Macaca mulatta: one gene and its partners. The protein of the gene in region 3 binds, or shares a complex with, the protein of the main gene of each other region. Links are inferred from orthologs where the notes say so. Each region holds a gene or a part of one and is shown on either strand. Other genes may lie near its edges.

Region 1 (4,412 bases), on a different chromosome or scaffold from region 3:
ACAGAATCTAAGAACCATCATTAAAAATGCCTAATCAAGTTGCAGCTAAGAGGTATGTGGATGGCTTTACAAAGTGTTAAGACTCAGTTAAGTCTTAAAAAACCACTTTAGAATTAGGTCCAATTAAACTCTGTAGAAGAAGCTATGGTAAATTATCCTTTCAGAGGTTCTCTTCGTGCTAGGGATTAAGAAAACTTGAAGATCAGCTCTCTCAATACAGGCTGTATTACTATCGGCATGAAATCCAGAGATCCCACTATATTCTCTTATTTTCTTTTACAAGCGCCAGTAACTTCATTTTTAAGAATTTGGCGTGGAACTGTGATTTTCAGTTTGGGAAGTAATCCTAATCAAAAGACATGCTGTCAAGAATGAGGCATGGCATCATTATACCAATTACCCAGAGTGCAGAATAATATTTCTTAAGGAAATCGAATTGTCGTGGACAAACACTGTTTACCCCCTTCAGAGGACAAAAGAAGGTAGGTCTATATTTAGCCTTTCGCAAAACCTCAGTTCCATAAAGGAAGCACTGATCTCCACAAATCCATTATCACAAACAAAATATAATGGTTGTCGGTCAGAATAAATGCAAGCTGCATATGTTTTCCAGAAAAGTTCTGACATGAGGCTGAACCTGAAATCCTGGGAAAGGCAGGTGAAGGACAATTAGAGAAGGTGTCCCTTGTTGTGCACAAAGACAGGAAAACTTCTCCCTCACTACCCTTCACCTATGTTTGAGGGAGCTCCATGCGCTTGCAATCAGGAGACCCAGTTCTACGACTCTGTGACTTTTTTTCTTTTTCCTGTCCGATCATAGAGGAATCAGGGCCTTGGGAACATTTCCCCCCCACGCAAAATGCAAAGGATTTTGGCATTAGCACAGGTGAAGGCATTAAGACGCAGCGAGCAGCAATGACTTGCCCAAACTCACAGCCCATGGCATAACTAGAATGCAAATCCAGGTCCGTCAGGCTGTAAAAGTCCTCACTACTAGCCTTTCAGTTTTCTCAAAAGCAAAGAGAGAAATAACGACGACATCCACACAGCAGTGTTCCCGGAAACTTGGAAGGATGAGATTCGGACCAAGCAGCCAGCTGAACGGTGCTTCCTAAAGCGAGGAAGGAGTGTGCAAAATGTTTTCCCCCTAAGCGGAGACGAAGAGCTGGACTGCAGCCCCCGCCCCAGAAAGCCCCTAAGCCCTCCATCCCGAGTCCCCCGTCCAGGCTGCACGCGACGCTGGAGACCTCCCCAGGGCCAGCGCGGCCCAGCGGGGAGGTGAAGGGGGCCATGCAAAAATGGGGTGCGCTCATCCCATCCCCACTCACCTGTCAGCCGGGCCGCGCCAGCGGCGCACGCGCAGGGCAGGAGGTTGCGCGCGGAGTCGGCACCCAGGTTCCACCCCTCCCTCACGGCGGCGGTCCTCTTCTATCCCCAGTCCCGGACCTGGAACGGGTCAGAGCCCGGCTTCCGCCCCTGACTTCCAGGACGGTCACATGACCGAAGCGGCGGTGAGCAGGGAGGGGCATCATGTGACCACTCGCCGGCGACGGATGATGACGCAAGAGCCCCCGCTCACTTTTCAGCTACAGGCGAAGGGGGCTGAGGAAAGGAGGTGGGTACAAGTAGGGGAAGTTGGGGTGCCACCAGACGGAGACAACTCGGACAACCAGGTAGGGAAGAAGCGGGGGACGGCAATGGGGAAGGTGGCGGGAATTGTCGCCTCCCTCAGGGACACTCCACGGGGACCCCGAGCCGGGAATTCGTCGACCTGGATTATGGTTGTGGCCCTTTTCACGCCACAGTAGTGAGTCTGGGACAGTTTACCCTCCTGTCCGAGGCGCCATCTCTCCATCCGTTAGCCACAAGTGTGTAAGGGCAAGATCACGAATTTTTGATCCAAATAGATGTGGTTTGAACTGACTTTAAAAGTAAGGCCACGGGAAGGTCGTTTGAATAAACTCTCTGGACCTCAGTTTCCTCTTCACTTATGTAGATTGCAGTGAGAATTAGCGATAAGGAGAATGAAGTGCCAGGACACCAGTTTATGGCATTCTGTAGGTGACCGAGAAATGATGATGTCTGTTGTTATTTTTGTAACTCGCCAAATCTTTATTGGTCCCCTATTTTGTGTGAAGAACTGCTTTATATGCAATAGAATATGTCAGGGTTCTAGTTTAAGGAGCTTTCAGTGTAAAGAAGCTGCAGACATGTGAGCAAATAGTTGTGATGAGTTTCATAATGGGAGTGTGTTGTGTACATGTGCATGTGATAGGAATAATGGTAGCATGAGGGAGGGAACAAGCAATTGTATGAGAAGGATTCAGAGAGAAGGGTATATCCTTGCATGCTGAAAAAGGAGAGGCAGCTCTGGCTGACTTGTACAAGGTTCCCGTGGATTTAAAGGAAGTCAGCATATTGTCTATAAATAACATGCAGAGAAAAAACTCAGGAAATGCACAACTTGTTCTAAACTTTCTTGGAGATCATAGGTATTGGGAAGAAAAGATCAGTGTTATTACATGGGAAGGGATCCAAGAGAGATTGATTTAAATCAGTTATTCTCAACTGATGCGCTATTGACATTTTAGGCCAGATAATTTTTTCCTGTGGGGTGGGGGTGAGGGCTGTCCTGTGTATTGTAGGACGTTTGAGAGTATCCCTGGCCTCTGCCCACTAGATGCCAACCATAATGTCTACAGATATTGCTACATGTCCCTTGGGAGAGGGGTAAAATCTTTCTTGGTTGAGAACCACTTAAACCAAGCCATGAGAGATGGTGTCTTAGTCAGTGTGGGCTTCTATAACAAAATGCCATAAACTAGGTAGTTTACGAACAACGGAAATTTATTTCTCACAGTTCTGGAGGCTGGAAAGTCCAAGGTCAGGGTGCCAGCAGATTTAGTGTCTGGCAAGGGCCTGTTTCCTGGTTCATAGGTGGCTTTTTGCTGTGTCCTCACACGGTGGAATGGCAAAGCAGCTCTCTGGAGCATCTTCTAAAAGGGCACTAATTTTATTCATGAAAGTGGGCCTAATCGCCTCCCAAAAGGCCCTACCTCCTCATACCATCACCTTAGGAGTTAGGATTTCAACATATAAATTTTGGGTGACACAAACATTCAGACTTTAGCATATGGGTAAGATGTGGGCAGATAGAAAACTGAAGAAAGAGCCTGGTGCGGTGGCTCACACCTGTAATCCCAGCACTTTGGGAGGCCAAGGAGGGCGGATCACTTGAGGTGGGGTGTTTTGAGACTAACCTGGTCAACATAGCGAAACCCTGTCTCTACTAAAAATACAATAAATAAATAAATAAATAAATAAATAAAATAACCAGTGTGTTCTGGCGCACACCTGTAATCCCGGCTACTCAGGAGGCTGAGGCAGGAGAATCCCTTGAACCCAGGAAGCAGAGGTTGAGGTGAGCCGAGATCATGCCACTGCACTCCAGCTTGGACGACAGAGCGAAACTCTGTCTCAAAAAATAAATAAATAAAAAGAAAGAAAACTGAAGAGATGGTTTTCTCACGGTGGGAGCAGGATGAACAAAGTCCTTTCTTCCTTTTTGGAGACAGCGTCTCACTCTTATTGCCCAGGCTAGAGTGCAGTAGCATGATCATAGCTTACTGCAGCCTTGGACTCCTGGACCCAAGGGGTCCTCCCACCTCAGCCTCCCAAGGGGCTAGGACAATAAGTGCAAGCCACCATGTCTGTGTTGTTTGTTTTTTTTTTTTTGAGATGGGGTCTCGCTGTGTTGCCCAGGCTAGTCTTGAGCTCCTGGCCTCAAGCAGTCTTCCTGCCTTGCCCTTTCAAAGTGCTGGGATTATAGGCATGAGCCACCGCGCCCAGCCTGGACAAAGTCTGGAGGTGAGTTCAAGAATATTGAGTATGAAGGGGAGAAGGAAACACGAGAGCTGTGCATCTGACCGAAGCAGTTTATTCATTTATTGATAGTTTCAGAGCACTTGCTGTTTATGAAGCACTGCGAACATCTTGCAAGATAGTCACTAACAAAGTAGAGTTACTGCCAAAGGCTATAATTATATCAAAGAGGGTGCTGTTAGAGTCAGAGAAAGGAGTTGTCTTTGACTTGTACTTAGCTGTATTTATTGGGAGGAATTGAGAAAAGTATATCTATTCCATCTTTCTGCACCATCCATTGTCTTTGCTTTTCAATTCAGTCTGTCTTAATCTTTTCCCTACTCCAGAATTACAGAAAAGCATGGTCATGTTTTCCTTGGTCCTCTGCAAGAGTGAAGTTTCACTCAAGTAATGTGAGTTTTGCATTCAACCAAGTAGTGACAACTACTGTTTGGTATATACTTTCCATTTATACTGGATTGCATTAATCTTCATAGATATTGTGTCTTTGTTCAAGCTACCATAACAAAATACCATAGACTGGGTGGCTT
Region 2 (3,624 bases), on a different chromosome or scaffold from region 3:
AGACTAGTGGAATATACCTTTTGAACCAGTAATTGCTCTCCTAGGAATCATTTGGAAAACAAGATAAAGAAAAGTTGTATTTAAAAAGTGGCAGCTCCAGACCGAGAATAAAAAATAAAAACATTAAAGAATAACAAGCAAATTCCTCCACATCAGGGACTAAACCCATTTTACAGGTCAAGAAACATCTGCATACAAACTAAGGAACCTACGTAAATTCCTATACTAGTGACGGTGGGGCCAGGATCTGAACCCAGGCAGTCTGATTCCCAAGCAGGCATGGTTAATGGTTACGCTATTGTTTTATAAGCCTTTTTGGTATCCACAGTAGAAATATATTTTACCTCATGATCCTGTACACACACACACAAAAGTAAAACAACTTCTACAAAACAACATTGACCTCAATATGTTGCAAAAACTTTAAGACGCTGATTTCGTCATGAAATTGTCTCATGGCCCACGATTTAAAACACACACAATGCTTCAGTGCTTCAAAAATACAGTATTTATTGTAATAACTAGAGTAGCATGTAAAAAAAACTAAGTGGAACTGCATGTTTAGCAACACAGCTGAGTAATTATGAATATAAACAATTGCTATTTGGAGAAAATACACCACGTTCATTGCTTGGAACCATGAATAATACTTACATATGTAGGAAATATAGAAAAAATAAAATAGGTTAAGGTAATAAGGATATAGGCAATTACGTTTTTATTTTTAATTTTATAAAGACTTTTATTTTTCCTTACAAACTGGGATGCTTAAGAGACCCGATAATAGCTACTTTTTTATTTTCTTGGCACCAAAGCAACTTACTTATGTGTTCCTTCTGGCATATCTGTTTCAGATCATAGTCAAGTTTTCCAATTCGTTTTACTAAGCTAGGAAAATTTTTTATACCAAAAAAAGTAAAATCAAAGCAAAACAAATGCTCTTTTGTTTATAGATGAAAATCTGGAACCAAATAACACAACATTAAAAGAACAAAACTTTGCAAACACATCCTAAAGCTACACACATTGAAACGCTACAGAAATACGCTTCCTGGGTTCGTTCTCCCTTCCCCCGCTCCTCTGCACTGTGCCTTTGGGTCTCAGACCCTTGTCCCGGGGGTCCCTCTGAATCCACCTCAGATTTCAAGAGGATGGGGCTGAGCCACTGGGCTGAGGTCTGGCCCTGTTCTCCTCATCTGCCAACGCCTCACAGTACTGCGCTGGCCAGTCCTTGGGGTCTTGATTATGGACTTTGGCCACAAACTTAAGAACTTTCATCTTGCTGGTTTCCAGGTTGGTTCGCGGGCCCCACTGGAACTCGTAGTCCACGGGGTCGGTGTGGGGTATCCGCCGGTATTCCAGGTAACGTTGTCGCACAAAGTCCTCGGTAATGAGTTTCTTTGGATCTCCGAAAATGAAATGCTTCTTGGTGGGGTAGACCCCTAAGCGCCGCAGAAAGTCCCAGACTTCAGTCTCCTTGACGGTGTTGCCCTTCATAAAGATGAGCCCCAGGACGATCATCAGGAGGCCCGTAGTGGGCGTGCCTTGGTCACCCCTCACCTCGGCATCCTCCTCCACCGGCTCCAGGGTGTTGATGAGGATATAAGTGTTGCTCTTGGGTTCAAGTTCCACCAGCTTATAACCGAAGACGTACTGGAGGCGCTCGGCGGCCCGTTTGAGGAGGTCGGGGAAGATGTCCTTGTAGTCCCCGATGACGTGCTTCAGTATGTCGGCCCGCTTGATCGGAATCTTCTTCTGGTCCTTAATCAGTAAGAACTGCACCAGCTCGGACACTTTCAGCTCCTGCTGCTTCTGGGTCCTGGGGCCCACGGCGGGGGAGGCCTGGGACCGGCGGGCGCCCTGCGACCCCTGCGAGCCGCCCGGCCCCCGGGAAGTGCTCGGGGCCTCCTCTGCGAAGCCGTCTCTGCGGGCCCGGGCGTGTTCGCCCGCCCGCGAGGCCCCGGAGTTTCCGCCACGGCTCCAGTCGCTGTCCCTCTCGGCCTGGCCGCCAGAGCGACCCCGGTTCCTCGGTTTTTGCAACATGTCACCGGCGACGCGTACCGGTGCACACTCCGGCAAGCAAGCAGCCGCGGCTGGGATCGTGGGTCGGCGACCCGCTAAGGCCGCTGCCTGGGCGGGGCCCCAGAAGGGGCGCGCAGTGTCGGCTGAGACTGCGTGCCGCGTCATGAAGCCTGCGCCTTGCGTCACGGCGGCTGGGCGGTGCGCCTGCGCGGCTGCGGGGCTGGGGGTACCAAAAGCATCAGATATTTCTGTGCAGCCCTGCAGGTCTGGTCGGTGAATTTCAGTATATCGAAGTGTTGTTCTTACTAAACCATGCAAGCAGAGAACGAGAACCGAAACTCCTAAACAAGTGTGTCGCTAAATTCAGGACCAGACAGGCTCAGGCAAGTTTTACAGACGGTATTATGAGTTTCTAATTCTAAATCGGGAGCATTTGTAAATGAAAAGATCTCACAGGATGAATGTGTGAGAAAGAAAAAAAAAAGGTGAAGAGGAAGGTACGACCGTGGAAGTAAAAGCATTTATTTCTACACAACATGTAGAAGGATATAAAAAACCCAGAGGGCTCTTAGTTTTCGTCCCTCCGCTCAATTTTATACCCTCCAACCCACTGCCCCCAGTTACTTTCTCTAATGCCCCGTGGAGTTTGTTAAAAACAAAAGTCTGCTGCAGGCTTTCCGCGCAAGCAGGACTTCGGTTTCACTATTTCCGTATGTGTATTCTCTGCATTAAACTCCTTTAGCTAGACAACTATGAGAAAACCCCACAAAACTTGTCAATATTAAGTAAATGTTTTAGCTTGGTCAAATGAGTTTATCCTTTGGAAAACAACTGTCTTCGGCTCACAGCCACAATTTTAGCAGAAATGCGTAAGAGGAATGCTGCAAACGTGCACTCTCAAGAGATTACCACTTAATTTTGGGCATCACTGATCAAGAATTGCAATAATGTGGATCTCTTAAATTTCTTAATTCATAATATATTAGCTTTGAGAAAGAAAAGAGAACACAAGGGTATTTATCCCTCATCTATGATGTGTGCAGTCTATGTATATTTTAATTGTGCAACTCAAGTAGCCAAAATGAGTCATTTCATTAACTCAAACCATCAGCAATCTGCTGCCATTACTTCTATAGATCTTAGCAAATTTGTTTCTTCTCTATTTATTGACTTGCAAAGAAGAAACTGAATTTCCCTGTGTCTTTTTAAAGCTACCCAGAAAGTGGATAAACTCTTCAAAGAACCAAATCGAGTTCCTCTTTAATGCAAATATATTCAAAGGAAAGCAATTTAGAACACATTATCTGAATAATAGCATCAAACACAACCTTATTAAAATTTTGTTAAATGTTAGTAGCATAACACATTTGTTTGTAATTCAGTAGGAAAATGCAATCTGATAATGGCACTGGAACTGCTATAGTAAATGTAAAATCATATTCCATGAACTAATGCAAGTATGCTAAAATCTGATACGCAGTGAGTAATAACTTACTGTTCCACACAAGATACAACTATATCCTCAGGCATCAAGCTTAATGACAAAGGCCTACTACGAAAAACAAATATATTATCAAGGTATTCATTTTTTTACAATGAGAA
Region 3 (3,649 bases):
AATAGTTGTCAAGTCTCTGGGCGGAGAAGACTTTCTTATGTATAACATCAAATATAGACACTGTAAGGGAAGATTGGTGGATCTCTCTGTCAGTTAAACAGACCAAAACTGCCACATCCACCTACAAGGGTGCCGTGGTAGGACGGGCGGCAAGGGAACAGAGAAGAGCAGGCTCTTGTAGTCTTTCTTTAAAGTCTGGTTGCCTTTAATAGGGTTAAGCTCCCCAAGGGTCTTGTGATTATTGTTTATATATGATGTTGCCATCATAACTGGATAACTTCTAGGCATTTTACAGTATAATGTAATAAAAATGGACTTTCATAAAAGTAAATTCAATATAACACATTTTCTGTAAGACAGTTTGAGATGAGAGAATTATTTGACTTCCGTCTACTCTTCCCAGGAAGGGAATTTTAAGATGAGCCATTCTCTCAGTAATGCCGGGCCACTGCTCTCTGGATATACCGCGATACAAGCTGAATAGAGATTTGTAGGACGTTTGCAAAAAATTAAAATCTGAACACCAGCTGAACTTGCTGGTGCTGTCGTGAAGCTTTTGATTTGGGATTTAATTTTATATTTGTATGCTAGTGCAGCTTTACTAATACATGAACTATTGGCGATACAGAAATTCCCAGGGGGCTGAGTTCCGGCGTACCTAAATCACTCTGCCTGCCAGTGGGCTAGAGTAGGGTTTCTCAGCACTGACACTATTGATTGACATTTGGAGCTGGGCATGTCTTTGTTTTGGGGGCCGGTACTGTGCATTGTATGATATTCAGCAGCCTCCGTGGCCTCTACCCAGTAGATGCCAGCAGCATATCAGTTGTGACACCCAAAAATATCTCCAGGTATTGCCAAAAGCCCCTGTGGGTAAGTATACCCAGGTTGAGAACCACTAGTCTAAATCATTTCACTTTCTCACCCAAAGGTTTTAAGTACATTGAGGAATATTTTCTGCCAAAAAGAAGGTAGCTTTGAAAAGAGGACTTTAACTGTAAAGTTATCTTTACAATAAGAAATTTAGCCAACATATTAAGACACTGAAAGCAGGCTTTGCGTCTGGCCTCTTAAAGGTTGAGTGATGCAGATTATTGGATGTGGACAATGATTGCGTGTGGCTTAACTGGGTTTTTTGTTTTCCTTCATTTTTGTAGCTCACACATATGGGTGTAAATCCGCTAGAAGCTGAAGAACTTATCCGTGATGAAGATAGTCCTGATTTTGAATTCATCGTCTATGACTCCTGGAAAATATCAGGCAAAACAGCAGAAAACACCTTTAATAAAACCCATACATTCCACTTTCTGTAAGATTATTTTAAAAATCCAACAGACCAGCTATTTGTGAACCTTAAATTGTTTTTTGTTGTAGGGATAAAGATTATTTGGTATTGTAGAGGTGACAGTCATGATGCCGTTGTTTGGAGACTTGAAACTTTGATATAAAAGTTCATAAACACTACTCCGGGCGTGGTGGCTCACGCCTTTAATCCCAGCACTTTGGGAGGTGAATACAGGTAGATCATCTGAGCTCAGGAATTCAAGATCAGCCTGGGCAACATGGCGAGAACCCATCTCTACCAAAAATACAAAAAATTAGCCCGCTGTGGTGGCCCATGCCTGTGGTCCTGGCTATTTGGGAGGCCGAGGTGGGAGGATCTCTTGAGCCTGGGAGGCAGAGATTGCAGTGAGCTGAGATGGTGCCACTGCACTCTGGCCTGGGTGACAGAGTGAGACCCTATCTCAAAAAAAAGAAAAGTCCATAAACTCTAGATGTGGGTGGAACCTTAAAGGATCTCTCATTCTGCTTTAGCAGAAAAGGCCAGAACCTCTTTACCAGTGCTCTCTCCTGGCTCCTTTGCTTCTAGCTCATGAGGCTCTGGGTTTATCATCTTTAAAATCCTTACCATATAGGAGGATGATACCTCCTACTGAGGGTATCTTAGGGTCTCCTAATGTCTAAAATGACATTTATTATAATACCCTGTTGGATGACCACTGACTTGTATTTGAAGATTACTTGTCACTGCCACATAAACTGCCCCGTTCATTTTTTAGATGGAACTCTGATTTTAAAAAAAGATTTCTTCATATTCGAATGAAGTTGGCTTCTGTCTTAACTTCCTGGCATGGTCCTATGGAGAAACTAAGAACAGCTCTTACTGGCTCTTCTCTAGAGGACCTTCAAGTATATTGGTTTTGTTGCCCAGTAGATACTTTCTCTAGGGGTAGCCATCTGAGTTGTTCAGTCCTCCTTTAAGTGGTATAGCTCCTGGGCATTTGTCTTTTCTAATTTGTCTTTTTAAAAACCTTTGAGATTGGTAATGGCTCGGGTAGAAGGCCTTGGAGATGCTAATGTAGTAGTGTGGTGTGGGATCTGGCATCTATTTTTAGTAAGACTTCAGGTAACTCAGGTGCCCAGAGCCATTTGTGTATGTTCTATTTAATAGGATACCGACGAAACTTCTTTATCTTACGATAAAGTCTAAATCTTTGTTTTTTGCTATCGTACTAAACTCATATATCCGAGGTTATAAAGATAAAGCCTTAAACTTTATCTCATCATCCAGCCCAATTTCCAGCCACAATGAAGTACTTAAAACTGTGTCTTTGTACTTGCTGTTCTCTTGGCCTCCAATTCCTTTTCATCTTTCCCATTCGGTAAAGTTTGTTTATCCAGCAGGGCCCCATCTTGGAAGCCTCCAGCAACTTCTCCAGACAGAGGTGTTAGCAGTGTAGGATCAGATTTCCCAACCACGCCACTCCCATGTCTGGGTAGATATCTCTGCCCAGGTGTTCTCACAGCACTTGAGCAGTACTCTCTAAGCACCCAGGATCTACCATGTTACTTTTTTTAAATTTGATTAATTTATTTTTTGATACTGCTCCTTGTGGAGCAGGAGTGTGCCCAGAGTAACCCACCATGTGATGCTGAAATGGATCTGTGTGTATAACGTAGCTGTCCATCTACATCGTATACTTCCGTCTCCTCAAGTGTAGGGACCACATGAGCCTTATTCTTGGGGCTTTGATCTCTACATGATGCAGACTTACATCTATTACTGCAGCCCAAGTCTGCATGAGGGCAGAATCCAGAAGGAAAAGGAGTCCCATGGCTGTGACTTGCCCTGTTACTCTAAGACAGATGTGTTCGTAGTCCTGGGCTGGGAGCCTCTGCCTTGGCCTCCCCAGATCAAAGGCTTCTGACCCCACTGGAGCTTCCCCACATGCCTACTCATCCTTCCCCTGCTCTTTTAGAAGTTGGCTTTGCAAAACAGATAATAGGTTGGGTGGTGGGAAGAGGTCACAGGCACATTCACTGGCCTGCTGTACAGGGCAGTATGAAGGTGTCTGAGGAGGTATCAGTGGTTGAGTAAAGCTCCTAGGAGTTACTTTAGAAATACAAAGAAGGCAGAAAGGCTGTCACAAACCTTACTAAGAGTCTTAGTCTGATGTCAGCTTGTATATCACTAATGTCTGGTCTGAATTTGACTATATCATGCAAACTGCTTTTAGTAAAATTAGTTTGTTTAACAAACAACAGGCAAAAAAATACATGAAAGCATATTTTTCATCAGGTTGGGTTCCATATACGGAGAGTGCCCTGTGCCAAAGCCACGAGTCGACCGTCCAAGAAAAGTTCCTAT

Evidence for each region.
Region 1: NSMCE4A (region 3) and NSMCE2 share a complex: the UniProt entries of both Homo sapiens proteins name them as parts of the SMC5-SMC6 complex. The link is inferred for Macaca mulatta from reciprocal best matches to the Homo sapiens genes NSMCE4A and NSMCE2.
Region 2: NSMCE4A (region 3) and NSMCE3 share a complex: the UniProt entries of both Homo sapiens proteins name them as parts of the SMC5-SMC6 complex. The link is inferred for Macaca mulatta from reciprocal best matches to the Homo sapiens genes NSMCE4A and NSMCE3.

What each region holds. Positions count from the first base shown.
Region 1 is NC_133413.1:135,525,373-135,529,784, forward strand, and holds the start of NSMCE2 (E3 SUMO-protein ligase NSE2), read left to right. Parts: upstream 1-1,577; 5' UTR 1,578-1,615; exon of another isoform or gene 1,616-1,673; intron 1,674-4,412. UniProt on the Homo sapiens protein: E3 SUMO-protein ligase component of the SMC5-SMC6 complex, a complex involved in DNA double-strand break repair by homologous recombination. Is not be required for the stability of the complex.
Region 2 is NC_133412.1:9,161,112-9,164,735, reverse strand, and holds NSMCE3 (non-structural maintenance of chromosomes element 3 homolog), read right to left. Parts: upstream 2,138-3,624; 5' UTR 2,044-2,137; coding exon 1,144-2,043; 3' UTR 536-1,143; downstream 1-535. UniProt on the Homo sapiens protein: Component of the SMC5-SMC6 complex, a complex involved in repair of DNA double-strand breaks by homologous recombination. The complex may promote sister chromatid homologous recombination by recruiting the SMC1-SMC3 cohesin complex to double-strand breaks.
Region 3 is NC_133414.1:134,048,903-134,052,551, reverse strand, and holds part of NSMCE4A (non-structural maintenance of chromosomes element 4 homolog A), read left to right. Parts: intron 1-1,157; coding exon 1,158-1,309; intron 1,310-3,580; coding exon 3,581-3,649. UniProt on the Homo sapiens protein: Component of the SMC5-SMC6 complex, a complex involved in DNA double-strand breaks by homologous recombination. The complex may promote sister chromatid homologous recombination by recruiting the SMC1-SMC3 cohesin complex to double-strand breaks.